Oreochromis niloticus: one gene and its partners. The protein of the gene in region 1 purifies or fractionates together with the protein of each later gene. This does not show direct contact. Links are inferred from orthologs where the notes say so. Each region holds a gene or a part of one and is shown in the gene's direction. Other genes may lie near its edges.

Evidence for each region. The genes of interacting proteins can lie anywhere in the genome.
Region 2: the proteins of sbf2 (region 1) and mtmr1a purify together in Homo sapiens (affinity purification with mass spectrometry; 3 studies listed by BioGRID and IntAct, with this or other methods). This does not show direct contact. The link is inferred for Oreochromis niloticus from reciprocal best matches to the Homo sapiens genes SBF2 and MTMR1.
Region 3: the proteins of sbf2 (region 1) and mtmr2 purify together in Homo sapiens (affinity purification with mass spectrometry; 3 studies listed by BioGRID and IntAct, with this or other methods). This does not show direct contact. The link is inferred for Oreochromis niloticus from reciprocal best matches to the Homo sapiens genes SBF2 and MTMR2.

Annotation. Positions count from the first base shown.
Region 1 is NC_031965.2:20,473,405-20,484,129, reverse strand, and holds the start of sbf2 (myotubularin-related protein 13), read left to right. Parts: upstream 1-6,455; 5' UTR 6,456-6,561; coding exon 6,562-6,616; intron 6,617-10,725. Other genes in the region: adma (adrenomedullin a), read right to left, coding at 1,743-2,016, 2,141-2,266, 2,375-2,469. UniProt on the Homo sapiens protein: Guanine nucleotide exchange factor (GEF) which activates RAB21 and possibly RAB28. Promotes the exchange of GDP to GTP, converting inactive GDP-bound Rab proteins into their active GTP-bound form.
Region 2 is NC_031967.2:2,852,168-2,862,021, forward strand, and holds the start of mtmr1a (myotubularin-related protein 1a), read left to right. Parts: upstream 1-5,543; 5' UTR 5,544-5,851; coding exon 5,852-5,958; intron 5,959-7,529; coding exon 7,530-7,635; intron 7,636-7,730; coding exon 7,731-7,754; intron 7,755-8,872; coding exon 8,873-8,896; intron 8,897-9,854. UniProt on the Homo sapiens protein: Lipid phosphatase that specifically dephosphorylates the D-3 position of phosphatidylinositol 3-phosphate, generating phosphatidylinositol. Could also dephosphorylate phosphatidylinositol 3,5-bisphosphate to produce phosphatidylinositol 5-phosphate.
Region 3 is NC_031975.2:10,965,267-10,974,934, forward strand, and holds the start of mtmr2 (phosphatidylinositol-3,5-bisphosphate 3-phosphatase MTMR2), read left to right. Parts: upstream 1-5,357; 5' UTR 5,358-5,560; coding exon 5,561-5,640; intron 5,641-7,268; coding exon 7,269-7,371; intron 7,372-7,471; coding exon 7,472-7,495; intron 7,496-7,600; coding exon 7,601-7,667; intron 7,668-7,756; coding exon 7,757-7,851; intron 7,852-7,924; coding exon 7,925-8,026; intron 8,027-8,313; coding exon 8,314-8,418; intron 8,419-9,208; coding exon 9,209-9,292; intron 9,293-9,379; coding exon 9,380-9,529; intron 9,530-9,627; coding exon 9,628-9,668. Other genes in the region: protein CWC15 homolog, read left to right, coding at 2,538-2,668, 2,863-2,975, 3,079-3,179, 3,274-3,384, 3,497-3,624, 3,737-3,866. UniProt on the Homo sapiens protein: Lipid phosphatase that specifically dephosphorylates the D-3 position of phosphatidylinositol 3-phosphate and phosphatidylinositol 3,5-bisphosphate, generating phosphatidylinositol and phosphatidylinositol 5-phosphate.

The DNA of each region.
Region 1 (10,725 bases):
CCATAATATTGCAGTTATGGCCATCGAATATCTCTAGATGGCAATAGAACGACACATAATACAGCGGTGATCCTCACTTTGTTTCTACCTGCACTTTGAACAGCTGTAATATGGATTTCCACTAAATTAAAAGCAGGAACCTTATCATTCAAAATACAGAGAAAGAGTAGCAATAATCTTTGACCTGATATGAAAGACCCATCTTTTATTCCCTCTGTGTTTTAAATGAGTGTTAAAAAGTGCATATTTCATTGTTGTGAATACTTCTGAATATATTAAATGGTTTATGAGGGGTGAAAATGGGACATCTGAATGATTTAAATCCGGTTCGGTTGTTTTTGTGCTGGAACGGGAAGGTTTTGATCGGTGCTGTGTGTGAGTAGCTATCGGGATGATATGGAAGGAATGTTAAACCGGAACCCCCCGCATCAGCCGACTTGTGTCCCAAACATCTTCCATTGAACACAGATGTAGCCAAAGCCTCAGCCTCCTCCAGTGGCTTCAGGGCTGCTCTGTGGTGTCGAGAGAGCCAGCAAATGGGAGCTGAACCTAGTAGGAATGTGCCTGGCAACCTGTCTGCCCTTTTTGAGTGGGATCATAAATAGGGGGATGCGGCAAGAGAAGGGAGGGGGGCTCTAATGAGAACGTTTAAACACTTAACAGAGTCCAGGTGCTCTTTGTTTTGCTGTAACAGTGTGCCCTCAGACAGAGTGCCACTTTGAATTCACACAAGCCAGAAGCACAAAGAAAGGAGAGCCAAACAAGGTTTCGATTTTGTATGCAAAATGTTTATTGAATGACATTATTGCTGCGACACAAATAAAATAGAACACATTTACAAATATATAATATACCTCTAAAACAGATATCCTATTACCACAGTTTGCAAGAGTAATGACAAATAGCTACAATGCCCATATATATTTCTTCCTGTACAAAAATAGCTCTATCTGTATAAGTACTTTACTGTAACTTCTATGTAATATTTAAATAAAGTAATTCATATATACACATACCTGCAATAAAAACAAATATAGATTGCACTTGTGTTTTTTTACAAACAACAACATTTCAAGTATATTTCAGTCCATTAAGGACTGGCACATATATCACATAATCTAAGGCATTTTTCCCTTATACAGTGTCCAAAACTTGATATAAACTGATAGCTTTAGAGCTGTGGAGCCTATCTTCGTGTTTGGCATTGTGATGAAGATGTCTTTTCCTGATGATTCATTTGACTTTAAGTCCAAATGGAAAAGTGCAGACAAGTACTGACAGTTTCATGGAACACAATGGCACAAATCCTTAAAGGATAGCACTTATCAAAGTCTTGGCCTTGAGGAATAAATGTGTTAAGTCCCAGAATATTAGTCCTCCCCCTTGATCGAGAGGATGAGTCCACTTTGCCAGGTATTAGCACTCTTCCCTTTCCTCTGCCATGCAGAGAGCAGCACCTGTAGTTTGCTCCATGCTGTGCCATCCAGTGTCTATAAGCAGCTGCAGTTTTTTTTTTTTTTCTTTGAAAGTTGTACATTGCTGAGCTCATTGCAAGGCTCGAGCTTTGGACAAACTCAGTTGCAGCCAGTTTTGCTCTGATTCACTGACTCGGTCCTCCAGCCTGGAACAAATGTGCTGGAGAATACTTGGCTGTAGTCTGAGGCACTTCAAGAATTTTAAAACAGAGCAGGCAGGACACTACTCCTTTGCTTTTGTTCCCAACTCCCGTTGCAAAGTGGTGCTCATGTCCGTCTGAGGAGGGCCTCAAGCTTGTGAACTTGTGAGTCAGTCGTGCTCCACACGGGCCTCAGCCTGCCCTGCTCTTGCCTTAGTGAGACTCTGTGTGATGGAAGGGAGCGACGCCTCCGGCCATATCCGTGTGGGCTAATCTTGTGGGGAGGTGCATTCCCGACCCTCAACTTGCCGATCTGGTGCAGACGATGTGCCAGGTCGTGCACTGTGCAGGTACCCAGGGCACAGCCTGAAGACCGCTTGGTTCGGACGTGGATGTCAGTGCTGGAGAACAAAGGGAGAAGACATGAGTCTATACTGTTTAATCCTGAACTGTTAATAGCTGACTTTGGATTTCTTGAATTTATATTTACTTTGTAAGAAAACTGTCAGAATTGCATGATCTTACCTGGAATGTGGCAACAACGTATCCCTGATGTCTTCTGGTCTGACAAGGTGCTCAGCCTCTGCTCTCTTCTCTACTGATATGGTGTCAACATCTCGCCTCAGTCTGCTTCCTAGCCATATGCTTAGCCTGTAAGAGGAAGGGAAAAAATGCCATTAGTCCAAGGTAGATAATTCAAATGCTGAGTGTCACACCCTAAATCAGGTTCAAATGAAAATCATTCCTCAGTTAACTCACCTCTTTTTCAATTCAGGATTCACTTCAAGTTCCACACAGTGTGCTACTGTTGCCAGCAAACAGCAGTAGATGAAGGACTGGAAGATCAATTTCATTTTGGCTCCTGTTTGGAGAAGGAAAAAAAAAAGAAAAATCAATAGTTAGTCACTCGTACATTTTTATTAATATTTAGCTATACAATTTTCCTGCTCTCCTTCTATCCATGCTAGACTCCTTCATACTGTAATAAGTGTGCTTGCTTACACAAGAGTCCAAAAGCCAAGTTATTTGCACATATCATTCATTTATTTAGAAAGTTAAGCTAAGGTCAGATCTTGCTGGGCTAAGTAAACCTACAACCATGCTTTGGGCCCCTGGCCAGTACTGTGAAGGACACAGTCTCCCAATAAGCGGGCAAAAATAGTTCACAAACAAATGTAATTCAATTCAGTCACCCGATTAAATAGAACAAAACAGCAAAATTATGTGCAATAATATGATAAACAGCACATGATATACTGCCCCTGTTGGATGCTTTGCACCTTGAAGGCAACTCCTTAACAGACGCACACATTAAGAGCTGAACTGCTTATATAACCAGACAGATAACCTGTTCTTGTCTCTACACTTGTGCCCTGACCTCAAAAAAGCAAGGATAAAGCCATCAGCTAGTGGCATAACAAATCACAGCAATGTCTATTTTAAAGGCAAGTGCACATACCTTAGTCTCTGTTCTTTAGTTGAATGAGAAAGCTCTTCTTCTAGAATCAGCTGGGAAAGAGTACTCCACAGGTTTCTTGAGATTGCTTCTAGTTCTGTAAGGCAGCTGTGTCACTCTGCTAATAGCTCCTCCACACAAGACGGGAGCCTTTATGCAAAAGTTGTAGGAGGGGCTAATTGACTCACTCATTCTCTCATCTCCCCCCCCACCCCCACCCCATCCAGTACACTACTGCTGCGCTGTTGTTCTTGTACTACAGCAGTTAAAACTTCAGGAATGCATTTGAAAAAGCATTAAACATGAAGCATTAAAGGAAATTTAAGAGTTGCTGTCATTGTGTTCTTCTTTCATGCTTTCAGCGAGTCACAGCACTAGATTTTTTTATTTCTTTTTCTTTTTCTTTTTACACCTCAGCATGACTCTTAAAAATAAAATAATGTTTGTTTTTTTAATTTAAGTGTGTGTATAAGCAAATGGGTAGTCATTATTTATGTAAGTCAAACAGTGCACTCACTGTGCCAGTAAGAGTACAACATGTTCACGTCAGACGGCTGCTTTCTATAGTGGGTGTTAATCACAGAAAGAAAAGACCTTTTCCTTTGTGGCTGTAATATTTGAACTATAGTTGTAATATTTGGACTTTAAGGTCACACGGCTATAGTTTTTGTTAATGCTCTTTTCAGTCCATCTGGCTAATTGTTTGAAGTGAAATTTAAGGAATGCTTCATCGGACTCGTTTTCAGGGCACTCCCTGATGTGGTGAACTTCCATGTCTGCTTGAAAATGTACTGGATGATGAATTTGAGACGTTGAAAGAGACACTGAACTGAATAAGTGATTAAATAATACACGTATTCCCAACTATAAACAGAATGTGCTCTATGTTTTTGTTTGTACGAGGCAAATATTTGACTATGGGCTCACCACAAATTTATTTGGATAAATGTGAAATGGAATTTTACAGTTAACTAGAAATAAAGTTACAAAAGAACTGTCATGTATGAACAATATTACCTCAGGCTTTCTTAGAACAGTCCGGAGATTTCTTTATAGTGTGTCATCTCACCTCACTTTTCACCTTAGGAATGCAAAGAGAATAAGTTTTGAGTTCATACAGGTGATACCAACATGTCTCATCAGTTTGAACTTTATTATATTTCTATCTTTTTCATTATAACTCAAAATTTGCATGTTGCTTTTACATGAACACACGGGAAGATGTTTTAGATTTCCACAGCGTGGAAAATCAAAACTGTCTGTGGGATTCGTGAGACAGATGCTTATTACGAGCCCCTTAGGGAGGACGAAAATAAATAAATAAATCACATAAAATTGCATAAAAAAATAACCAGCTGGGGAGGCTAAAACTTTGTTTATCTCATCTCACTGAGCCACGGCTAGTGAAGATCTAATGTGTCTGTATTTGAGATGAGCACAAAGAGGTAATATGCACCCAAGAATGACCCTGTGTGTGAAATGCTGTAAATACCGACTTGTTCTCTTTTTTTCAGAAAAGAAATTCCAGTACAGAAATTTCCACAAGGCACTGGATATGGTGTAAATTAACATTGCAGAGAAGGTCCAAGTATTTCTTTCAGTTTTGATACTTGTTTCACTTTCAATTACGGGGAAGAAAAGCTCAAATTGAATTAAAGACGATGTAACGCTTCAAATTCCCCTGTAGCGCACCAGCATCCTGTAATTCGTATCTCATTATAATTAAAAACTTTCTTGAGTTTATTTATATCTCAGACCTCATTCCTTGGTGTCATATTTCAAACTAAAAAAAAAAAACAACATAAATGACAAACACATGTGTTGTAAAGCAGAATGTTTTGCAAGCACTTTGCAATGATAATTGCCTCCAGCGGACAAATAATTCCCCTACCAGAGTTTACAACAAGAGATGGTGCAATCATGACAACAAAACTCCTCTGGTGCTTTTTGGCTCCTTATATAGCAATCTTTTGAAAGTCCATTCTGATGTTGTCCTGGTAAGATGACCCGACAGTTTTTGTACAACCTTATACTTTAATGCATGAGTAGGTCTGTGTGTCAGAAAAGCCGAGCAACAGTCGTCATGTTTGGGAGAAGAGGGGGAAAAAAAAGAGGCTGTCAGCCCCAAAAGCACAAATTACAAAGATAAGTCATAATTATTACCTTGAAATATCCATTGTGTTGTGTGGGGTCTTTTTACTTAATGATCATTCTTGTGCTGTGATAAACGCTATATAAAAAAGGGGTGTTAATGTGTTCTGCCACAGGTTCAACTCTTTGACTACCTGTGTCTTTTTTCTAGCAGATGAACAGCACGAGGGAAAAAAAAGAAGAAGAGAGAGGAAATTGCTTGCTGTGTTCCTGCTATTGTTGACCGCAAAGGTGGTGGTGGTGGATGCGTGACTCTCTCACTCACATATTACTCATCGACACGTGCTACTCGGCTTGTCCTTTTCTCTTTTTTTTTTTCATGGATACTAAATATTTTGCACAAACTCGATATTTGACATCTTTTTTAAACAAAAACAAATACAAAAAATTAATGTTACATTAAATTTGTAAGTCTATGGAATAGTCCTTGCATGGGGATTTTTAATTTTTGCATTTGGTGTTGGAGTTTGTAGCATAAAAAGTAAAAATAAATCAGAACATTGTCGGTTTAAGCTTCAGACAGAGCTGACTAGTGGCAAATGTGCACTTAAGGTTAAGGGGTTGTACACAGTCCACTGGTTAAGAGATGTTACATCACAATCACCATTCTAAAAAAAGAGCATAGCATGGATAATAAAACAGCATGTTGTGATATAGTAACATGGAAACTTCTACTGACTAAAAATCTGATGCAAATATTTTACATTACTCAGTGAAAGTGAAAGTGTGTTTCTTTTTTTTAATCATTAGTATTTTAGAGCAGTACTACTGTATATATCTTCTCTCTTCTGTTTGCCATTTATTTTATTCCTGATGTCTTTACTATTTTTTTCCTGCACAGTTGGCGTGGAGCACTCATAATTTCGTTGTACATGTGCAATGACACTAAAGGGCTATTCTATTCTATTTACAGAGTCTCTAGCAAATCCAAGAGTGGCCAAGATAAAATTTCCTATTATAAGTGTTTGGTTTCTTTTCTGTTATACTGTAAATTACTTACAAGTGCCCTGAGATGACTTATGCTGTGATTTGAGGCCGTTCAAATAAAAATAAATGTCCTAAACTTCACACAGTTAAAGTAAAATATAGTATTCTTTTGGTTTTGGTGGCTGTAGGTTTGGCTACCCTCGATATATAAAAAGAAACAGTGCTTTAGGGCCAAAACGAGTCTCTACTGGAGCACAGAGCTGTATTTGTAAACTCGAGAGGGCCCACGCCCATGGATGTATCCCGCTCCTGCACGCAAGCGCAGTGACACTCCTTCTGTCAAACATGGCTGTGCTTTGGAAGAAGGAAAAATGCTGAATTGTGTTGGTAAATCTCGGGAAAAGCGGCAGACATGGCTAGATTGGCTGACTATTTCATTGTCGTGGGATACGATCAGGAGAAAGCCGGTAAGTTTGGCTCTCAGATTGAGCTGGCGGAGCTGAGGTTTGTGTCCAGGCCGTCAGTCAGTGTGTGTGTGATGATGTTGATGCTAGATAGCATTGCGCTAGCTTAGCCACACGGCTACAAGGCGAGACTGGGAGATACTTTTTCTCCCTTTTTGGTTTTTACTCCCTCCTCCTCAACCGGCCACCCGCTCAATATGATCAAGCGGGCGTGTGTTTACACAGAAAGCACACGCGTGATGTTAAGTCACCAGTGGATGTTTACACACGAGGAGTTGGGATATTTGACTTGGATCAGCTGAAACTTCTCGTGGATTCAAAAAAAAAAAAAAAAATCTGTCACATCCTGCCCTGTTGATCGTGATCCTGTTATCAGGTCTAAGGGGCCATTCAGCCATATAAAACCAAAATCTAGCTCCTCCTTTATCATATTTGTGTGCTTACTCAAGCCAGGTCAGGATTGCTATTGGTAGCCGGTTTGCTTCTATGTTGTGGATTTTTTTTTTTTTTTTTTTTTGGTGGGTTCAAATTGGGTAGGGAGGGGAAGGGGCTTGGTGTTGCACCTCGGCTGTCCTGCATGCTCTGCTTCCGGTCTGTATTTATCCGCTGTAGCCACACTTGTCAGCGAGTTGTTGTGTTGTATGTATTTATTTATTTATTTATTTGCTGGAAGAATGCTGAAGTGGTTCATGATGGGCGGAACATTATACAGCTGCAACAAAAGGGCAGTGCCTGCTCTGGGCCAGTGTCCTTTTCCCTCCTCTTCCCTCTCCACTGTTGTGGGACAGGAAGCTCCTCATGCTTCCACTTACAAGCCGTGCCTCAGGTCCAGCCTCACATTCTTTTCATCCAAGACAGGAAACAGCTTTGCACACATTTCCAAGCATTCATAGATAAATACATGAAAACATCTTGGCATTGCACGCATTGTTCGTGCTGTGCACAGGGCATGAATGGTACTTTGCAGTTTATCACTTCTCATGATGCACTGTTTTTTTTAAAAGTATCCTGTGAGAATGATGCATAATGAGCTGCCTGGAGAAAGTTTAAAAAACTGATCTAATCTGCATTGAGGGTAGAAAAGAAAGTTTCCCGGACACTTTTTCAATGGCATCCGTTCAGTGCCATGTGCTTCAGAAGGGGGCTGGAGCAGCTGAATCCCCTCAGTCACCATCGCTTGCTATGCATAATAGGTAAACAGTGCTTTTCATCAGCTCTGTGCACCCCAGCGCCAACTGACAAATGAATATTTTGTGCTCCGGGGACAAAATGTTCCTGGCGTCACCCGAAGAGTCTGAATGGATTCACATTCAGATGGTCTCGCCACAAGAAGACGCAGGGGCCACGAGTTAAGTCTTTTCTTTGCCTGCCTGCTGATGATGAAGAAGTCAGCTGCAGGGAGAGAGAGAGCTGTAAAAATCCACTAGCACAAGTTGTGGCTGATTATGTCTTATCTCTGTGGAAGCCTCTCTGGGGAACAAAAATATTCCCGAAGTCTTGACTGAACTGTATTCCTATCGGGTGATGATTTGGACACCAGTCCTGCAGGAACGCCCCTGTCTGTAAGCGGTAGAACTTGAAAATTGCACTGCCTTCTAGATTTGTTAGGAAAATAAACAGATAACTTCTCCACAGCGATGACTTGAGTGAGAAGAGTGTTCTTGTTGAAGGCGTGCTAGTCACGGTAATGTGCAGCAGCTCGTCTAGACGGCAGATTTTTCCTGGCCACCTCGCTCATTAATTCAAACCAGGGATCCCTACGTGGGTCCTCATTAACCCTCCTGTGCTGTGCTGGCATTTGCTCCACTGCCCTGACCCACTTCTCATTGTTAGATTACTACGAATGGATCTGCTGGAAATAACACTGAGCCCACAATCTGTTAAGTTTTAGGCTGGCTCACAGTTTGTAGTAAAATCAGACTCCAGCTTGTAAAATAATGAATTGCTGTTGGTTATTATTGTAATAATATGACATTAATGCTTTTAAAGTCAGGTAAATATTTAAATTAGTGGCAGTGGAGCTTTTCTCATGCAAGCTCATGCATGCAAGTAGGTAAGGCTCAAGTTGCAATACTGTACACTGCATTTAGCCCGAAAATGTTTACAGTATGTCAACACGTGTGCTGTGGTTTGTTACTAAGGTCTGTTTTTTGTTTTTCTTTGGAATCGCATGACCCAGTTTCAGTAACTTGCTTAAATTGCTCTTTTATTTCTTTTCTGTGTCCCCTGAGTGTCAACATAAATCCAGCCAGACCATTTGGGATATTTTCATTACGAGGCAGACGACCCAATTCATGAAATATATTTAAAATCACGCTTATTGTGTGATTGGTCCACCAGACTGAAGTGATTTAAAACAAGCAATAAAACACTGAAGTTTGGCACCTTCTAAATCCAGAGTTTGTTGCTGTTGGTTGAACCTATAGCTGGCACACGCTTTTGTCATTTAAGTACCTCTGACATATAAAAAATTATGTGCAGTCGTCAGTCTGATAGCAAGGAATATAACCGGCAGATTCCTCTTTTAGAAATTGGACCTGAGTCTGTGTCCCTGGGGGCCAGTGTCATGAGCCATAAACCCTGGAATTATTTTCACGAATGAGTTGGAATGTGAATGCGCCGTGTTTGAAGGATGCAGCCTGTATCGAACCCGCAGTGTATCCTGGCTTTTTCCTTTTGCATTAAGGCGCTGTTTCCCTTTACTGGCAAAGGTTTATATACGGTTTGGCGTGCGGTTCCCCATAAATTGCAGTTTGCCAAGTGAAAAAGAGGCATCTGCCCAGCTGCTTTTCTGAAACAATTTATTGGTGGGATATCATCACTTTTTATTGAATCAAACTGCTTTTGGAATGTGTTTCACAGACACAGAGCCCAAACTCTACGGTCTGGATTTTCGAGTTTGGATGTGGGGCAACGGCTTATGTAACAAGCACAGTCCAGGAAAAAAACAAAACAAAGAAAAAAGACCTTCCATAAGAGCAAAATACTTCCATCTGATGATGTCTTTTAAATATAAGATAATGATATTGGTACCCAGATAGATGCAAGTCTGCAGCTTTAGATGTGTGACTATCAGGCATACTAGTAATATGAATCCACACATCCATCTGTTTTTGGACACTTTTCCTTGTCTGAGTCGTGGGGACAGCGGTCCAAGCAGAGCAGAGCTTTTCCAGCTAATCTGTGGAGATTAGCTGCCCAGCATTCCCAAGCTAGCCGAATTGTGACTTGGGTCCGTTCTTGGGCCTCCTCCCGCTAAGGTATCCAAGAAGCATCCTAGATGCCCCGACCTCCTCAACTGGCTCTTTTTGAGGAGTAGTGGCTCTCCAAAACATCCAAAAAAGATCTTCACCTGATCACTGGTAATACCCAGACACCCTTCACAGGAAGCGTATTTCTGCTTTTTGTATCCATACTCTTCAGATCACTTGCAGCTCATTTCCATCGATGAGTTTAGAAATGTACATAAACAATTCCCATTCTCTAATTCTCATCCCTGCTGCTTTGCACTCAGCAAACCTCCTCTCCTCAAGCTGGAGGTCACTGCTCAGTGAAGCCACAAGGACCACGTCATCTGCAAAATGCAAAGATTTGATTCTGAGGCCACACACTGGAAACCTTCTGCCACTGCCTGGAAATCTCTGTGCCAGAGTCCGTCCACTAAGATTTAAGAGTAACAACTATTGGCATAGTTAAGGAGTAGGGGCAAGTATAAAAAGATTGAGTCTATAAGTTGGAAAAGCTTCAGGTTCCAGAGTATTTCCCCTCTTGGATTTTCCCTTTTAATGATGACCACCACATTACTGCACACAGAAGCTGGGTCTCTGATTACGGTGGGATCACGGTCAGCAGAAACACATTAAGGCTGGTTCCAAGATACAGACTAGATAAGAGCATTCCTGACAAAACAGACGCAAAGGTTTTCACTTTTAATTTCAAGTGGTTTTACAGGAATTGTTGTGTTTGTATAGTAATGTCATGAGTGGGTGTGTTGCGAAAGTTTTGTATGTTCTGCTCTATTATGTTTACCTACATGTCTGATTAGGCAATCAGTGATGGCATGGATTCAGCCGGTTGCTGGGTTGATGAGATTCCCCGTGATGTCCCAAATG
Region 2 (9,854 bases), on another chromosome or scaffold:
GCTGAGATATTTTTTTTTCCCCACAATGATGCCTCTTGTACATCAGTGTCTCCCAAAAGATAAGACTATGTCATTTCCAGTTAGGAAAAAAAAAAACTTGGTGGTTGGATAAAAGTAACTCAAAATTTGCCAGGGGTATAAATAATTATGGGCTTGACTGTACAAATTACTCTTCAGTGTCTCTGCAATGTGACATAAAGATCAAAAAGAAATAACAGTTCAGCAAAGCATTGCACAATGTTAATGTAACATGAATATTTCAAAAAGAAAGTTGCATACTGGAGGAAACACTGCCCCCTACACGACTGTCAGTCAGAATAACAACACAGCAGGCTCTCTGACTGACTGTGCACCGAGGCAGCCCTGATGGGAAGGTCAGTGGTCTGTTTTATAGCGCTCCTCTACTCTCAGCACTCATAGCGCTTTACACAACCTGCCTCATCTATCTGACGTTCACACTTTGATGGATGCAGCAGAGAGCAACGTGAGGTTAGTGTCTTGCTCAAGGATGGCATGCAGATTACACCTGCCAGAGATTGAACCACCAACCTTCTAGTTAGTAGGTGACCTGCTCTACAGCCACTCCAAATATAATGTATTTAGCAGCTTGATGATGGCTGATGGATAAAAATCAGAGTGAGTGGAGGAAGTCTTTGTGGGAGTCTACAAAGACTCTACATTTTCTACAGATACTCTGTAAAACATTGGAGTGTCACCTCTCTGGTGAGAAAGGAGCCTGAGTTAGTGCGTGAGATTGAGAGGTACTGATTACATATGTCGGGCTCACCTCAACGTATAGCTTGGGCTCCAGAACCAGTCTCCTGGAGAGGGGCTGGACTTGCTGTTGGTGAGAGGTGGCGGGCTCGGGTGGACAGTTGAGTATCCCCTCAGCTTGCTGCCTGTATGTAGAAGTTTTTCCTGGTGGACAAAATGGTTTGTTCCCTGTGCCTCCGGGTCGGGGAACAGGTCCTAACTGTTGTCTGGGCCTATGTGCCGAACAACAGTTCAGAGTACCCGGCCTTCTTGGAGTCACTGAGTGGGGTGCCGGAGAGTGCTCCGCATGGGAACTCTGTCATCTTAATGGAAGACTTCAACACTCATGTGGGCAACAACAATGAGACCCGGAGGGAGGTGATTGGAACAGTCTACCAGATCTGAACCAGAGCAGTGTTCTGTTGAGCGCACTTCTGTGTAAACCACAGTTTGTCCATAACAAATAGCATGTTCGAACATATTCAATTCAATTCAATTCAATTCAATTTTATTTATATAGCGCCAAATCACAACAAAAATCACCTCAAGGCGCTTTATATTGTACAGTATACCCTATAATAATAGAAAGGGAGAAAAACCCAACAATCACTTTGGAGCAAGCACTTTGGCGACAGTGGGAAGGTAAAACTCCCTTTTAACAGGAAGAAACCACCGGCAGAACCAGGCTCAGGGAGGGGCGGGGCCATCTGCTGCGGGAAAGTTTGAAGCCTAATCTTAAAAGTAGAGATAGTGTCTGTCTCCTGAATCCAAACTGGAAGCTGGTTCCACAGAAGAGGGGCCTGAAAACTGAAGGCTCTGCCTCCCATTCTACTTTTAAATACTCTAGGAACAACAAGTAGGCCTGCAGTGTGAGAGCGAAGTGCTCTAATAGGGTGATATGGTACTACAAGGTCATTAAGATAAGATGGGGCCTGATTATTTAAGACCTTGTATGTGAGGAGCAGGATTTTGAATTCTGGATTTAACAGGGAGCCAATGAAGGGAAGCCAATACTGGAGAAATCTGCTCTCTCTTTCTAGTCCCTGTCAGGACTCTTGCTGCAGCCTTTTGGATTAACTGAAGGCTTTTCAGGGAGTTTTTAGGACATCCTGATAATAATGAATTGCAGTAGTCCAGCCTGGAAGTAATAAATGCGTGAACTAGTTTTTCAGCGTCACTCTGAGACAGGATATTTCTAATTTTAGAGATGTTGCGCAAATGGAAGAAAGCAGTCTTACATATTTGTTTAATATCTGCATTGAAGGACATGTCCTGGTCAAAAATGACTCCAAGGTTCCTCACAGTGTTACTGGAGGCCAAGGTAATGCCATCCAGAGTAAGAATCTGCTTAGATACCATATTGCTAAGATTTTCAGGGCCGAGTACAATAACCTCAGTTTTATCTGAATTAAGAAGCAGAAAGTTAGCGGCCATCCAGGTCTTTATGTCTTTAAGACATTCCTGCAGTTTAACTAATTGGTGTGTGTTACCTGGCTTCATGGATAGATAGAGCTGCGTGTCATCTGCATAGCAGTGAAAATTTATGCTATGTCTTCTAATGATGCTGCCTAAGGGAAGCATGTATAATGTAAATAGAATTGGTCCTAACACTGAACCCTGTGGAACACCATAATTGACCTTAGTGTGTGAAGAGGACTCTCCATTTACTTGAACAAATTGGAGTCTATTAGATAGATATGATACAAACCACTGCAGTGCAGTACCTGTAATACCGACAGCATGTTCTAATCACTCTAATAGGATATTATGGTCAACAGTATCGAACGCTGCACTAAGGTCTAGCAGGACAAGCACAGAGATGAGTCCACTGTCAGAGGCCATAAGAAGATCATTTGTAACTTTCACTAAAGCTGTTTCTGTGCTGTGATGAGCTCTGAAACCTGACTGAAACTCTTCAAATAAGCCATTCCTCTGCAGATGATCTGTTAGCTGTTTGACAACTACTCTTTCAAGGATGTTTGATATGAAAGGAAGGTTGGAGATTGGCCTATGATTAGCTAAGACAGCTGGGTCTAGAGATGCTTTTTGAGTAAAGGTTTAACTACAGCCACCTTGAAGGCCTGTGGTACATAGCCGATTATTAGAGATAGGTTGATCATATTTAAGATTGAAGAATTAATTAATGGCAGGACTTCTTTGAGCAGTTTTGTAGGAATGGGGTCTAAAAGACACGTTGATGGTTTGGAGGAATTAATTATTGAAGTTAACTCAGAAAGATCAATTGGAGAAAAAGAGTCTAACTTAACATCGATGGTACTAAAAGTAGCTGTAGATAATATTACATCTGTGGGATGATTATTGGTAATTTTTTCTCTAATGATAAAAATTTTATTTGTGAAGAAGTTCATGAAGTCATTACTAGTTAATGTTAAAGGGATTGTTGGCTCAGTAGAGCTCTGACTGTTTGTCAGCCTGGCTACAGTGCTGAAGAGAAACCTGGGGTTGTTCTTATTTTCTTCAATCAGTGACGAATAGTAAGATGTTCTGGCTTTGCGGAGGGCTTTCTTATAAAGCAACAAACTATTTCTCCAGGCTAAATGATGATCCTCTAAATTTGTGACACGCCATTTCCTCTCCAGCTTACGAGTTATCTGCTTTAGGCTACATGTTTGAGAATTATACCACGGAGTCAGGTACTTCTGATTTGAGACCTTAGTTTTCACCGGAGCTACAGTATCCAGAGTCGTACGTAGTGAGGAGGTAAAATTATTAACAAGATGATCGACCTCTGTTGGAGTAGCATTCAGATAGCTGCTCTGCTCTATGTTGGTACAGGGCATTGAAGATGATAACAGTGGGTGGATTATATTCTTAAACTTAGTTACAGCACTTTCAGAAAGACATCTACTTTGATAAGGTCTACTCTCCACTGCTGTGTAATCAATTATTGTAAATGTTATCAGGAAATGATCAGACAGCAGAGGGTTTTCAGGAAACACTATTAAATGTTCAGTTTCTATGCCATATGTTAAAACAAGATCTAGAGTGTGATTAAAGTGGTGGGTGGGTTCTTTTACATTCTGAGAGAAGCCAATTGAGTCTAATAACAGATTAAATGCAATGTTGAGGCTGTCATTTTTAGCATCTACATGGATGTTAAAATCACCCACAATAATTATTTTATCTGAGCTGAGCAGTAAAACACACGTCATATCCTGTAGTATAGCTGATAATTTTATAAAAGCACAAAGTGGACGTAGTTTTCAAGTGTTAAAAATAGGAAAAACCAAAAGAGTATTGTCATTAATGCTCACTTCAATTCAATGTTATTTATACAGCGACAAAATACAACAGTTGCCTCAAGACGCTTTATATTGGAAGGTAAAGACTCAAGAATCATATGTCATTAAAATGTTAAAATCACCCACAATAATTATTTTATCTGAGCTGAGCACCAAATCAGATAAAAAGTCTGAGAAATCAGACAGAAACTCTGTGTAAGGCCCAGGTGGACGATAGATGGTAACAAGTAAGACTGGTTTCTGAGTTTTACAGCTGGGGTGGACGAGGCTAAGCATCAGGCTTTCAAATGAATTAAAAGTCTGTCTTGGTCTTTCGTTAATTAATAGACTGGTGTGAAAAATTGCTGCCACACCGCCCCCTCGGCCTGTGCTTCGAGGTTTCTGGTAGTTAGAATGACTCGGGGGTGTTGATTCATTCAAACTAACATAATCATCCTGCTGCAACCAGGTTTCTGTAAGGCAGAGTAAATCGATTTGTTGATCAATTATTAAGTCATGTACTAACAGAGACTTGGAGGAGAGAGACCTAATATTTAATAATCCACACTGTTTTACTCTTTGGTTCAGATGTGGAACCTGTATTGGTCGTTCTTTGTGATTTTTTATGTTTAAGTTTTTTGTTGCTGGTTTTTGGTTTGTTTTTTGTCTGTTTGGGAGCTGACACAGTCTCAATGGAGATGGGTTTTTGGGGGGGTAGCAGGAGGAGAGAAGCTGCAGAGAGGCGTGTAAGACTGCAACTCTGCTTCCTGCTTCATAGAGGTGTCCATAAGTGCATATGGCACCAGGACAGCCCAGGCCGCAGGCTGATGATTGATTTTGATTTATGATTGCAGCCATTGTTGCTGTTCCTCTGCTATTTTCTCCAGACCATGATTGTGCCTGCTAAACCTGCCAGACAGCACAGGTGTTTAAAAAAATCCAGAGATTACTAGTTACAAAAGCATGTTTTCCTCTTCCTGTAAAAAAGAAAAAAATATCATTTGATAGATTTTTCAAGTGTGGAGAAAAAGTTAAAACCAATTAATTGTCATTTCATTTATTACCCCAAAAGAAAGTAGTTCGTTTTAAGACAATTACTGATATTTATCAGGGTGATGAATTTTTCAGGTTGATGTTTAAGCTGGTTAGTAAAGCTCAGAGCTTTTGTAAAAAAGATATTGAAAGTCAAGAACAAATTTTCTTTATATATACGCTGTATGCTCTATCCTATGTTTATTATCAGTTGGCCTTGAAGAATGTAATACCTGTGTTAGAATCTTGTTGTAATATCTTTATTAAGCAGTTACCCGCGTCTCTGCCAGCAGTATGTAGAGTAAGTCCTGGTAAATTCAGACAGGTTCATTTAAGATAAAATATTTGGTTATTTGTTTATTCGTGTGTTTTTTTGTATTCTGTTATTATTTGATGAACACGTTTGATAACTACACCCTTTCGTGGCATTTTTCTCCTTTCCGTGTTGACTTCTTCTTCCTCCGCTGATGTGGCAGTTTGGTCTAAATGGCGACGCCTATCGGTCAGGACGGTGCTACAGCATCCTTAGCACTGGTAGAAGCTGTGGCGACGTCACTGCGAACAACAATGCTGCGGCTATAGATGCGACTAAGAGGAAGTGCAAACAACCAAACCAGAAGAAACCACTGCATGTGAGATCCGCTCTCGAGCCTCTGATTAGTTTCTTTACACAGTTCGGAGTCTTTAAAGAACCATTACAGCCCGCTGGGAGCGGACACTGGGATTACACCGAGCTTTAATTTCATCCGCATCCCTTGTCTGTATCAGAGGAAACCATCCATCTCCGCCCCCGGTGACCCAGAAACGAAGCAGTTGTGTGACAGATGGAGAAACAGGCCGGAGGTGCCGGCGCTGGGGACGGTGCAGGGGCGAACAGAAAGCCGTGGGGCTCGCCGACTTGCGGCGCGGCAGCCGGTGATACCCTGGACAGGTAAGCAGGCTCGCTAACGAGAAAACGTGACGCCGATGCCCAGCTTGTTACTTATGGTTGTCTCGCTTTCCCACTGTACACCAGTAACATGAAATATTAGTAGTATTTCTTCACACCTTCATCTCGGCATCGATCCACAGACCAGTGCTTGGGACAAACTTTCCAACGTGACAAAACACTCATCATGGAATGATGTAGCGTGTTACCAGTTCATTTCAGATTTGGAATGACAACATACAACACAGTAGCGATACACTAGCTGACAAAAAATAATAGGATCACGTGATTAACACAGCATATAGGAAATGCACAGGAATGGCCACGCAGCCTGCAGACACCGAGTTAAACATCCGTATCTGCCGCTCAGAGGAAGCCGCCACCTGAGGGAGATATGACATGATGTTTTTGTAGTTTGATAAAAATGTTACAATGTTGCTCCTGTTAAAACAATACCGACACTGAAACGTGGAGTTGCGTTGCGCTGGGTAGGAGCCATATTCTTTATGTATTATTTATGGTTATCATCGCCCCCCCCATTGTACTAAAACTGGAGGAAGCGTCACACAGTCGTAACTCCTCCCCCTTAACATTCCATGACATTCACACCACAAAGCTGCTCCAATCCAGACTGAGTCTGTCAGAGACACTGGTTTATCTGCTATCACTGACAAGCTTCATATGAGCTGCTTTTCCTGATATATTGTTCTTGGCTTAATATTCAGGACTGTCCAGGAGACGGGACCGTCTGTCTCCAGCACTCAGACAACCGCTGTCAAAGCCCAAAGACAGGACGTTGTACTGTCTGGCTTAGGATTGGGAGAAAAATCAATACAGCATAGTATCATCAAATTTTGCATGGAGATATTGCATCCAAAAAACAACATTTTATTAAATAAATGAAAATACTCTGTGAATACTACAAAAAAGTCTGACTTCGACTGACTGAAATCACTCGCAGAGAAATGCAGTTTATATCAGAGACAGATTGCATATAACTGGCAGCTTTACCCGGTATAGTTGCAGACTGGTACCAGTCTGATTGCAGACTCAGTCCATCAACATTTGTGGCAGCTTTTAGTGGCAGTGTTGGTTTTCTTAACAATCTCATTTGCTGTAAAAACAAACAACTGAAGTGAAGTAACTCTATTTTATTAAATAAAACAGACCTTGACAAACTTTGACTTTGAGGACATCATTTGCAGTTGAAAAAATATTAGAAAAATATTAGTTAATAATATTGTTGTTAATTACTACACAGGGTGGAACGTTCTCATATGTAACATGTAGTCAGCAGAACATCATTGTTGCTGTCAGATGATGTTTATCTGTTCAACACATTCATTTTACAGTGATGATGTTAAAAGTGGTGTGATAAAGAACTCAAAGAACTTTCTAACACAATTTATTTATTTAAAATAATGTATTCATTTATTTGTTTCTGTGCAACAAAAGGGAGAAAACTGAGCAAAAGTAAAATAAAGAACAATATCAGCCAAACTGTCATTCTGAGTATTAGTGTCAGCCTGAAATCTGGAGTTCAGCTTCAGTTCATTGTTTCACTCTGTGTTCAGTCCAACAGGTTCTCACGTAGAATGGTGTAAACAGCTAATAGCAGCCACAATCTCCAGTCAGATCTCAGGATCAGTCCAACCAGACATTGGGAGCAGGGACATCAAGGTAGACAACACACAGCACACACACACACACACACACACACACACACACACACTGCTGGCAGTGATTCTCATCAGTGTGTATTTTGTAACTAATAGGCTGGGAGAAGACCAGAGTTCATGGTAAGTCTCGGAGACTTCTCCTTGTGAGCTGCTTTGAGTGTGGGCGCCTAGTTTTGTCTGTTAAGTCAATATGAATGATTAAGTCTGTCGTCATTGTTTAGAGAAGCTACTGAGCAAGTTATCGACTGCTTCTGTCTGTCAGCGGCCTGCTCTCTGCAACCACCTCTCTGTAGCGAGGCGCATATTGGCTCATTCATATTGGTTTTTCTCTTTTAGACCTCAGATCAGTTAGAGGTGTAATGTTCTATGTATTGCACATTATATGCAATGTGCTTTGTTAACTAAACAATGCTGCTCATATAGATCTCTGGTAGTTTAGACAACCCACAGCAGGGTTTAGCTGTATTGTTTGCAAGTGTAATATATTACACTAGACCTGTAGAGAGAGACCAAACTGTGGCCCCCGGTTGTTTAACATTAGATCTTTGCAAACGCTGACAATAAAATATGATAAAGCAATTGTAAAAGTGGCACCCATCACCTTACTACATCTTCTACAGCTATTACGTTCCACCTGAGCAATAAGGCTGACAAATATTCAAAGAACTGGAGTTTTCCATCCCAAAATCCAGATTGGAACCAAACTCTGTGCTTAAAGCTGCTGAAAAGTCTGAGCTGAACAGTCTTAGTTGTGTTATTTCTTTGATAAGTTACATTTCCAGCAACTTATCACAGTTTTGATAAATGTAACCAGAGTAGCACAGACTTCACTGTCACCACTGTGGTATGTACACTGTCTGTGAGATGACAAATAGCTGCTGAATTTAAAAAGGCACCCCTCTGTGCACATCTAATGAAATGTGTGTAATGAATTCACCTCCACTGTGTCAGATCAAACCCTCCACCTCTGATTTAAGGCTCACTTCATTAGAACAAAGTTAGAAGCGCAGCTTTCCTGCAGCTTGTCTAAACTTGTATCGGCTGTTTGTCACTTGTTGTCTTTGCTTGAATTTTGAACCTCATTGTTTGGAGGTTGCTTTTGTGCGCTTGTCTATTTGCATCCTTCTGTTATAAACACAGACTGATGTGCCACACATTAAAGATAACCTTTGGGTTGAAACCAGAGTGTCACCTTAGTGCTTTCCATTTCATGTCCATGTGGTGTGTTTAACCTCCAGGTGTCCAAGAGGCTGAATCGCAGGGTAAGAGTTGTTGTCCTTTCAACACATTTACAACACAAGCGCACTGCACACACACAGGAGTTTTGTAGCGTGGGATAAAACAACAGCTGCCTCTTGACTGTGATTCTTCAGCAGTAGCATTGTGATACAGCAAGTGTTCAAATTAGACGAATAACTGTAACGGTGTTAGGACGTGCGCTGAATAAATATTGTATGTGATGCAAATTTGAGCAGTTTGCTACTGTGTGACAGTGTGTAACCAAATCAGCCTCCTGCTGCAGACGGACCAGAGCTGCTACTCCTCCCTGCTCAGTGTACTTCCTCCTTCCTGTTTTATCCCTCTGTGCCTTTCTTCAGCTTTCTTTTTTCTTTCTTAATTAAGTATGAAACTGACTCCATTATAATAGAGCAAAAACCAACCAGACAAACTGTAGTGCCTCAACAAGAAAATCAAATTAAAGAGGGGATTTTTTTTTTTTTTTGAGTGGACTCGCTGCAAATCAATTTCCCATTGGAGACATTAAAGTTAGCAAACAGTGTTTGCATGTGAAGGCCATCGCGGTGGTGGGAGCATCAAGCTGTGGGAATAATTCACTGTTTGACTGGGAATCATGCCAATGGGTGGAAGGAATCATGACTGGATCTGTGAAGCTCCTGAGCAAACCTAGGTCTGGATTGTTATAATAATAATAATACATTTTATTTATAGGCGCCTTTAAGAGCCTCAAGGTCACCTTACAATAGCACAAGAACAATAGCAACAATACAATATAAAAACATGTCAAAATAACATTTAGACATAAGGTAAATAAGAAAAAAAAAAGCATAAAAGTATAAAAACAAGTATGAAAGCTGAGCAAGGAAAAAAATGGACTAAGACAGATCAGGTCTATGCAATGCTGAATAGATGGGTTTTGAGACGTGATTTAAAAGTGGTGAGAGAGTTTGTGGTCTGGAGATCTGGTGGAAGTGCATCCAA
Region 3 (9,668 bases), on another chromosome or scaffold:
GGTGTGCTTGGTTTCAACATAACTTTATTCTTTCATGAGTTATTTACAAGTTTCTGACCACTTATAAAATGTGTTCAATGTGCTGCCCATTGTGTTGGATTGTCAATGCAACCCTCTTCTCCCACTCTTCACACACTGATAGCAACACCGCAGGAGAAATGCCAGCACAGGCATCCAGTATCCATAGTTTCAGGTGCTGCACATCTCATATCTTCACACCATAGACAATTGCCTTCAGATGACCCCAAAGATAAAAGTTTAAGGGGGTCAGATCAGGAGACCTTGGGGGCCATTCAACTGGCCCACGACGACCAATCCACTTTCCAGGAAACTGTTCATCTAGGAATGCTCAGACCTGGCACCCATAATGTGGTGGTGCACCATCTTTCTGGAAAAACTCAGGGAACGTGCCAGCTTCAGTGCATAAAGAGGGAAACACATCATCATGTAGCAATTTCAAATATCCAGTGGCCTTGAGGTTTCCATTGATGAAGAATGGACCCACTATCGTTGTACCCCATATACCACACCAAACCATCACTTTTGTTGGTCCAACAGTCTTGGAGGGATCCATCCAATGTGGGTTAGTGTCAGACCAATAGCGGTGGTTTGGTTTGTTAACTTCACCATTCACATAAAAGTTTGCCTCATCACTGAACAAAATCTTCTGCGTGAACTGAGGGTCCTGTTCCAATTTTTGTTTTGCCCATTCTGCAAATTCTGTGCACCGATCTGGGTCATCCTCGTTGAGATGCTGCAGTAGCTGGAGTTTGTAAGGGTGCCATTTGTGAGTAGCTAATATCCGCCAAAGGGATGTTCGACTAATGCCACTCTCCAGTGACATGCGGCGAGTGCTACGCTGTGGGCTCTTGCTGAATGAAGCTAGGACAGCCACTGATGTTTCTTCATTCGTGACAGTTTTCTTGCGTCCACAGTTTGGCAAATCCAACACTGAACCAGTTTCACGAAACTTAGCAAGCAGTTTGCTAACTGTAGCATGGGAGATGGGTGATCTCGTAGGGTGTCTTGCATTGAAATCTGCTGCAATGACCCGGTTACAACGTTCACCAGATATCAACACAATTTCGATCCGCTCCTCACGTGTTAACCTCTTCGACATGTCAGTGGCTGTGCACAAAGAGAAACTTGTAAATAACTCATGAAAGAATAAAGTTATGTTGAAACCAAGCACACCATTGTTTTTCTTGTGACATTACCGATATGTTTGATGTGTCACATGGCCCTCTTCCTATTGAAAAAACAAAAGTTGTATCCAAGATGGCCGACTTCTAAATGGCCACCATGGTCACCACCCATCTTGAGGAGTTTGCCCCCTCACATATACTAATGTGCCACAAACAGGACTTTAATATCACCAACCATTCCCATTTTATTACGGTGTATCCATATAAATGGCCCACCCTGTACTGTGTTAGAGTTGTTTGTGTGACCATTACAGGGAGGTTTTGCTTTGAATGCATCTTCTACGCATCTGTTTGAGCGTTGCACTTAACAGCATCCTCATTTAACTCCTTCACTGTAACACAACGCACTATTCAGAAGACAGGTCACTCCTCCGCTGATGCCCCTGCAGTCTATTTAGTCTATCAGTCTTTCGGAAGTGGTGGTTTCCAAAATAAAATTTAGAGAGGCTGTAGCATATTTGTTAAGTTATACGCGTAGACCCTAGTGGTGTCAACGCTATGTTGAGATGTAAGAAGTTTAAAATCTCTGATTTTTCGCACGCTATTTTCTCTGAGTGTTTCTGAACGCATCTTTTTTTTCCGGAAGTGACGTTGATTGTTGTATCGGTGTTCCTTTCGTCGTGTGGTAGCGGCTTTGTAAGTGTTGTTTCTTTAAACCTAATTTTTAAATACTGCTTAATGAATTTTTTAAATTTCCTTTATTTTTGGCTGTAATATCACTTCTCTGAAACATTATCCGTCTTACCGAAGGCTCGAATTAGTGTCGTTTTCAACCTCATCGGCGTTGTTATAGGAAGTTAGCGTAGCAGCGTTTTAGCTTTAGCAGCTAGCAGGCTAATTTGTTCTTTTCATTTACTGCCTTTTAGCAGCTGATATTTATCTTACAAAGAAGTATTTAAAATGCCACAGTCTCAATTTAATCAGAAAATTGTTAATTATAGGTTTAATTGGTTGACCTGGAGTTTTAGCAGGTGAACAAATGATATTTATTAGGAAAATTACGTAACTTGTCATCTAAATGCCTCTCAACTGTTATTTACGTTGCTAATATAGATATACACGTGAACTATAAGCGGTTTGATCACCACTGAGGTTTAATGAGTAGGTAATTGATATTTGGGAAAGGGTATGTTGTACCAGCTTGTCTAAAAACCAAAAAGATGAGCCTTCTGACTTTCTATAAGGCACATAAGTGGAGTAAAAGCGTGTTGTGTTGTAGGGCACTACAATTTGATTATGGACACCGTGTCTGCTCTGCTTTTTCTGCTTGCAACTTTTCCACCTGTTTGATAGGTTTAATGTCTTCTTTGTCCCATTGCAGAGCCATCAAAGATGACTACAGCTGCAAGACCAACATTTGAGCCGGCAAGAGGAGGGAGGGGTAAAGGAGAAGGTGATTTGAGTGCTCTCTCCAAGCAATACTCCAGTCGAGATCTTCCAGGTCACACAAAGATCAAGTACAGGTCAGAAGATCAAATGTGAATGGAGTTTTATCATTGCCTGATCTGCTGGCTGGTTAGCTAGAAGGAAAGATGCTTTCGGATCAGTTTGTACTGCATTATCTGTCTGCTCACTGTGAGATTGGTGAAAGTGTTCCAGAAAGCGTTCTGGACGAAAATTACAATTTATTGATCTGCTAATGTTTTCCCTTCTGCAGGCAACCTACCCAGGATGCCCCTGAGGAGGTCCGTGCCCGTGACTTTCGTAGAGAGCTGGAGGAGAGGGAGCGTGTAGCAGCACGTGAAAAGACCAGAGAGAGGGGACCAAGAGGTTGGTCTTTCTGCAGAAATTAGACTTCCTGTTTATGTAAAATATATTTTAGTGTATATTTATTTTCTCACATATGGCATTATGTTGGTCTTATTTTTTCCAGAGCACACCACATCATCATCATCTTCTTCGTCATCTTCAAAGAGGCCAAGACTGGATCAGATCCCAGCTGCTAACCTTGATGCTGATGATCCTCTCACTGATGTGAGTGTCTACAATGCAAGACATTTTGGGCACTTAACTTGAGTAGTGGTTAGTACTGATTAATCTCCCTTAACAATGATTTTTATTTTATTAGGATGATGAGGACGAGGACTCTGATCAAGATAGTGATGATGATGACACTGCAGCTCTTTTGGCTGAATTGGAGAAGATTAAAAAAGAGCGTGCTGAAGAGCAAGAACGCAAAGTAACTGTGTTTTAGGCTGTTCTGTTTGCACTAACTAAAATAAGACGTTACATTTGGTCAGAAGAAATATTATTTCTTTGTATTAAGTAAAATTTTCTTTTTTCCATCTTAGGAGCGAGAGCAAAAGGCAGAGGAGGAGAGAATTCGAATGGAAAATATCTTGAGCGGCAATCCACTGATTAATTTGGCTGGACAGCAGCAACAGAACCAGACACAGAATACATTCAGAGTCAAGAGAAGGTATGTCTCACTTATACACAGTCACCCACAGTATAACCACAGGATGAGCTTTGTATTTGAGAAAAAGACCTCTTAAATCTAATCTTGATTTCATTTCCTAATATTATTCAAGGTGGGATGATGACGTAGTGTTCAAGAATTGCGCCAAAGGAGTGGATGAGGCACGGAAGGAGAAACGCTTTGTCAATGACACACTGCGCTCTGAATTTCACAAAAAATTTATGGAGAAATATGTAAAGTAGAGGACTTCCTCTGTGTTATTTGTATTGTTTTTGTTTTTATTATCTAATGTGTTTGGTCTCCTTCCTCTACCCTCTGTTGCAGAGGGTACATGGTTTTTCAAATAAACTCTGTATACAACTTCATTAATACTTGTACAGTCATCCATCTATCCATGCTATTAACCACGTATCCATCTGTACAGTCATGCTGTATATAAATGTGTCAACGTGACATCTTTGAGTGAAATTTGTCAAAAGTTAAGTGCAGTTTTTAAATGTGACCAAGCATTTATTTTCTTTTGGGTTTTTTTCAATAAACTGGCAGAGATTATATAAACCAGCATCTCCACAAATGCACAGTTAGATTAGGATCCAGTCAGATCATCAGATGGAAATGTCTTCCTTCTGTTTAGCCACTCCACACACACAAACATTTCATTTTAAACAGTGTAGAGATCTGCAGTCAAGCCTTTATTTCTTTATGCAGCCATCTGCCATCGACTTTTTTCTGCTTATCTTATTCAAGGGCACAGGGGCGCTGGAGCCTGATTTAGACTTCTGTGGGAAATTGTAACGTAACCGGAAAGCCTTCTTAACCCTACACCGCAACCTGATCTGCACCACTTGAGAAATATAGCTACACATCAGGTCGAAGCAGACTGCAACAACTGAATGACATGGAAGGTTAGAGCGTAGAGTTAAGACGGGTTTCTGGTTGCAGTAGAAAGAACAACTTGGATTTCCTGCAGAAGTCTAAATCAGGCACATCCCAGCTGTCATTGGGTGAAAGGCACAATACACCCTGTCTGTCGCATTTCTTGTCAAATTAATTTTTTTTCAATAAATTGTCTTCATATTAAACTGCTTTATGAACCCTTAAAAATAAACTGACTTGAAAAATCAACAGCACATCAATCACCAGGATACTGTTATCATATACACACAAAACTTTCCAGTAAAATAAAGGTGCAAGTTTCATGTCTTAAATCTTATCTGAACTACATGTTCCACTTCATCAAGATTATTTTCCCAGTTTATTGCTCATTTAATGAATTGTCTGTAATTGTGCAGAATGGTTGAACAATTTGAGCACATTTGGTGTATTTACATGCAGATGCAGCTTCTCCCTTCTTACTAAACCTACCTGCATACAGTAGACTAATTGTCTAAAATCCTTTTTGCATTTGTAATTATCAGCTTCATCTCATTCAATAGAAAGAAGCATTATAGTCACATGAATGTGACTATTTCTATTGTTTTTGCATTAAGTCTTTCATTAACACGAATGTAAACACGAAGTTCAAGTTAATTTTACTGCAGTTTAGCCATTTCATTATTCTAGCATTCATTATTATGGAGCCAAAGCAATGACGTTACCCACATGGACGCTGGGTGGATAATTAGACAATGTGTACGTTTTCATTAAAATAAGAAGCATTATCCTATCATCCACTCTGCGTAGCCAGAGGTTTGGCACGAGAGAAAAGCGTTGCACGCGATCAGTTGCAGTTCCGCAGAGAGACAGCAGAGGGCGCGCCCTCCAACGATCCTGCCTGTGACGGGGATTGGGAGGCTTCTGGGAAAAGATGGTAGCTTCCTTTTGTTTGTGGGGATTTGCTTCACTCGGAGGAGGGATTTAAAACCGTTCAGTGGCTCTTTAGCGGTAAAGTCTTGACTCGCAATACCGGTTATCCAAACGCTTGAAGAAGGAGAACATGGAGAAGAGCGGGAGTGTCGACAGCTTGGGCTCGAAGCGCTCCTCTTCCCGACAGCCGAGTGTAGATTCATTGTCCAGGTAGCTAAACCCACCGCCAGACACCGCTAAGCTAGCCAAAAGTTTTGACACTATCGGCAGGGGTTAGTTATTAAGGCTTTATAGCTGAAGTTAAGCGTGTCTAACTTCAGTACACTTCTTGTAAGCTTTCAGCTGTGACTAATGTTATCCACCAGTGACGGTGTCCTCGTGAGCGCTACGAGACCAACGCAGCTTGAACTGTAAATTAGGACAACGCAATTTTATCGATCCGCTCCAGTAATCACTCAAGCTGTGATGTGATAGAAATGTCAAACGGAAGCTAACAGAGCCTCGATGTAGTAGACTGTTTGCCCAAACAGTGTCAAACTTATTTCAGTCCATGGACAACATAGAGCTCAATTTGCGCTCGTGTGGGGCAGACAAGTTAAAAACACTTTTTCAAATCATCAAATATTTTTAGAACATTTTCTGCACAGCCACGTCTGATTTGCCTCAAAATGTTGTGGTCTGGATATATCTAATAATTGCTGTGACGTTTTAGTTTCGTATATCAGATATTTTTGAAGATGGATTAAAAAAGAAGTTCCGTCGACATAAATGAAAGCCTGAAGTTTTCACTGGCTCCTCTTACCATAAAATTGAATCGGGATCTGCAATTAAAAAAACACAAAACAAAACAAAACACAAAAAAATCCCTCTCAATATGGGTTAATTAAAATACAGTAAATAAATATGTAAATAAAAATCTCATTACAAAAACAGCTAGTTTCAGTTTCTTTTGCGATATAGTTGTATTTTATAGTACTGCAAAATAGAAACATGTAGAATAGCTTTTTGACATAAAATTCTTAGTTGAAAAAAGAAAATGCAAATCTTATTCAACTTTCATGTTGGACTTAGTAAACATGATAAGTTCTATCACAGAAACACCAGTAGATAGTCTAATACAGATAGATCAAAATTCTGGAGTTTCCAGATGATATTCTAATTATAACTGAGAACATAATTTAGTTTAATCAAGTATATGCATATTGTTCATTTCTGACAATTACTTTATAGACATGCATATAAAGTAGGAGTCTGATCATTCAGGTTAAGTTTAAGATATGTTCAGAGGTACTTAAAAATGCAGCTGTTCCAAGGTAATATTTTTTGCACATACAAATGAATATAGAAAAACTATTAAGAGAAATGAGAAAGGGATTAGTAGCTCATTCCATGTGAGTAGTATTGCAAGGTCAGGTACGTGTGCACGTGGTAAAATCAGTAGTCCGACACAAGAAATTAACCCCTCGCCCTGACGTCACCAGGTGATGAGTATGCTGCCGGAATTGTAATCTGTTTTAAAATGTTACATTTTTGCATTTTTAGTGTTAGTATCTCGTATAATTTTAAACTTAACCTCAGTTATACGACTCCTTCAGGGCAATGTGCATGCCCAGATCCATCAGAGTGGATCTGGAAAATGAAAAATATACATTTAACAATTTTTTTTTCTCAGTCTGAAAACAAAGGGCCAATCTCAACAGATGTCTCTGTTTTTTTAGTCATTGAGTCTTCTGTCATTACATATACGTATACGTGTAAATACGTAAAAAACTCCCCCCAAAAAGAAAAGACTGCACCTAATAAATGGTTCTCACTTGTGTCATGTCACTTTCCACCAGCACTTCCACCTCTCGCTCTGACCGCTCTGCCCAGGCCAAGCCACCATCTGCTATGTCCTCGGATTCTGTGTCCACCTCTGCAGAGTTTTCCCCGGAGCTCAGGGTTAGTGACCTGCATGTGTTCCACCGCTATTATTTTTCTATTAAAATATATATTTTCGTAATTTAAAAACTGAAGCGTGGCTCTCCTCTTCTTTTTGCAGGTCAAGCCCAAAATATCTGCCAAGGTAGATGATTTTACACATTTAATTTTACCCATCCTATCCTGTATGTTTGAGTAAAATTTCCAGTCAAGAGACCACTCAGAACTAAAGTGGATGATATGTTTCCAGCAGGCCATCAGAGATTCAGACAAAGAAGAACCACAGTTGCTTCCGAATGAAACCGTGCAAGACATGGGTAGGTTTCCATTCAGCTGCAATTACAACCCATCAAAACAGCAAAAATGCAGCAAACTAATCACCTTATCCTCTTGTTTTTATTCATAGCCCAAGATGTCACCTACTTCTGTCCTTTTACTGGAGCTCTGAGGGGAACTGTGACTGTCACCAACTACAGGCTATTCTTTAAATCTATGGACAGGGTATGTTATTGATTATTTTTAATTTGTATTTTGAAGGTTTTTTTGTTGTTGTTAATGTCTGGCTGATTTCCAGGAGTCAACATTTATGTTGGACTTGCCTCTTGGGGTGGTGAGTCGCGTGGAAAGGATTGGAAACGCTTCGAGTCGTGATGTGTCCTATGGGCTGGTGTGCAAAGTGAGTAAGCTTGTGAAAGTTTTAAAGAATTTCTTCTTTTGTTTTTGATTTACAGAATCACTAAGTTGCAAAATAGCCAAGTAGTTTACAGTTATTCAACTGAGAAGCAGAGACAGAGCTGTGTAATCTCTGCCAGAGATAGCCCATTAAGAAACAGTGAAGTTTTACAAAGATCTACTTCTACGTTACCTTTCTTGGTAATAACGCTTAACTGTGATGAAATGATTCTTGTATACAGCTGCTAGCCCATGAGTTTTTCCCTGATTTGTTGCTCTGCATTTCTACAGGATATGCGTAATCTACGATTTGCACACAAACAAATGGAGGACACGCTCAGGAAGTCCATTTTTGAAGTGCTGATGAAATTCGCTTTTCCTGTTTCCAATGGGCTGGTAAGTACTGCCCAGCAATGCTGTTGCTGACTTTTTTAGCCCTGCACATACAGTACCGGGAAACACATATTCGTAGTCCTCTGAAAAACCAAGTTCAATTTCAGTTCAGTTAGATTTATATAGAACCAAATCACAGCAACGGTTTCCTCATGCCACTTTATATTATGAGGTAAAGACCCTCCAATAATACAGAGAAAACCCCAACAATCAGACGACCCCTTATGAGCAAGCACTTTGGCAACATTTGGAAGGAAAAACTCCCATTTAACAGGAAGAAATCTCCAGCAGAAACAGGCTCAGGGAGGGGCACCCATCACCTGTGACCAGTTAGGGGTTAGGGGAGGAAGACAGGACAAAGACACGCTGTGGAGGAGAGCCAGAGAACTAAAGTATTTTAGAGTCAAATGTGAAGCCATCTGTTCAACAGTTAAAGCTTGGCCCTAATTGGGTCATGTAATAAGATAATGATCCCAAGCACAGCTGCAAATGTAAAACATAATGGCCAGTCCAGACCTCAACCCATTTGAAATGCTGTGCCTAAACAAATACCTGCAAACCTCAGTGACCTGAAGCAACGTGTTCAAGAACAGTGGGGTAAAATTCCCCACCATCATGCAAGACACTGATAATGTCATAGAGAAAATGATTACTTCAAATTGTTGCTCTTAAAGATGGTTGTATAAGATACTGAATCGTGAAGTGTACTTAGTTTTTCACAGGTCTTTCACAAAGTCCACAAACCTTTTTTCGTGTACAACCACCTGAAATATGTCTCCCCCACTCTCCACAGCAAATCTTTGCCTTTGAATATGGGCAAGTGTTTCCTGAAAATGGATGGAAGGTGTATGATGCTCTCTCAGAGTATAAAAGACAGGTACTTAAGTTATGCAGAATGCTTTGTTAAATGTTAAAGTACGCTCATAAAACCGGTTGCTTATGTCCTTTTTTTTTTTTTGTCAAGGGTATACCTAATGAAAGCTGGAGGATAACTAAAGTAAACGATCACTATGAGCTGTGCGACACGTACCCATCAACACTGGCAGTGCCTGTTAACATACCAGACGAGGAGCTGAAAAGAGTCGCTGCCTTCCGAGCAAAGGGAAGGATACCGGTGAGTGACCGTTTTTTTCAGCAGTACTATAATTGTCTGTGTGTGCGCCCGGCTTGCAGGACAGTCTGTGCTGATATTCTGCTACACATTATTTAAAGGTGTTGTCATGGATCCATCCAGAGAGCCAGGCAACAGTGAC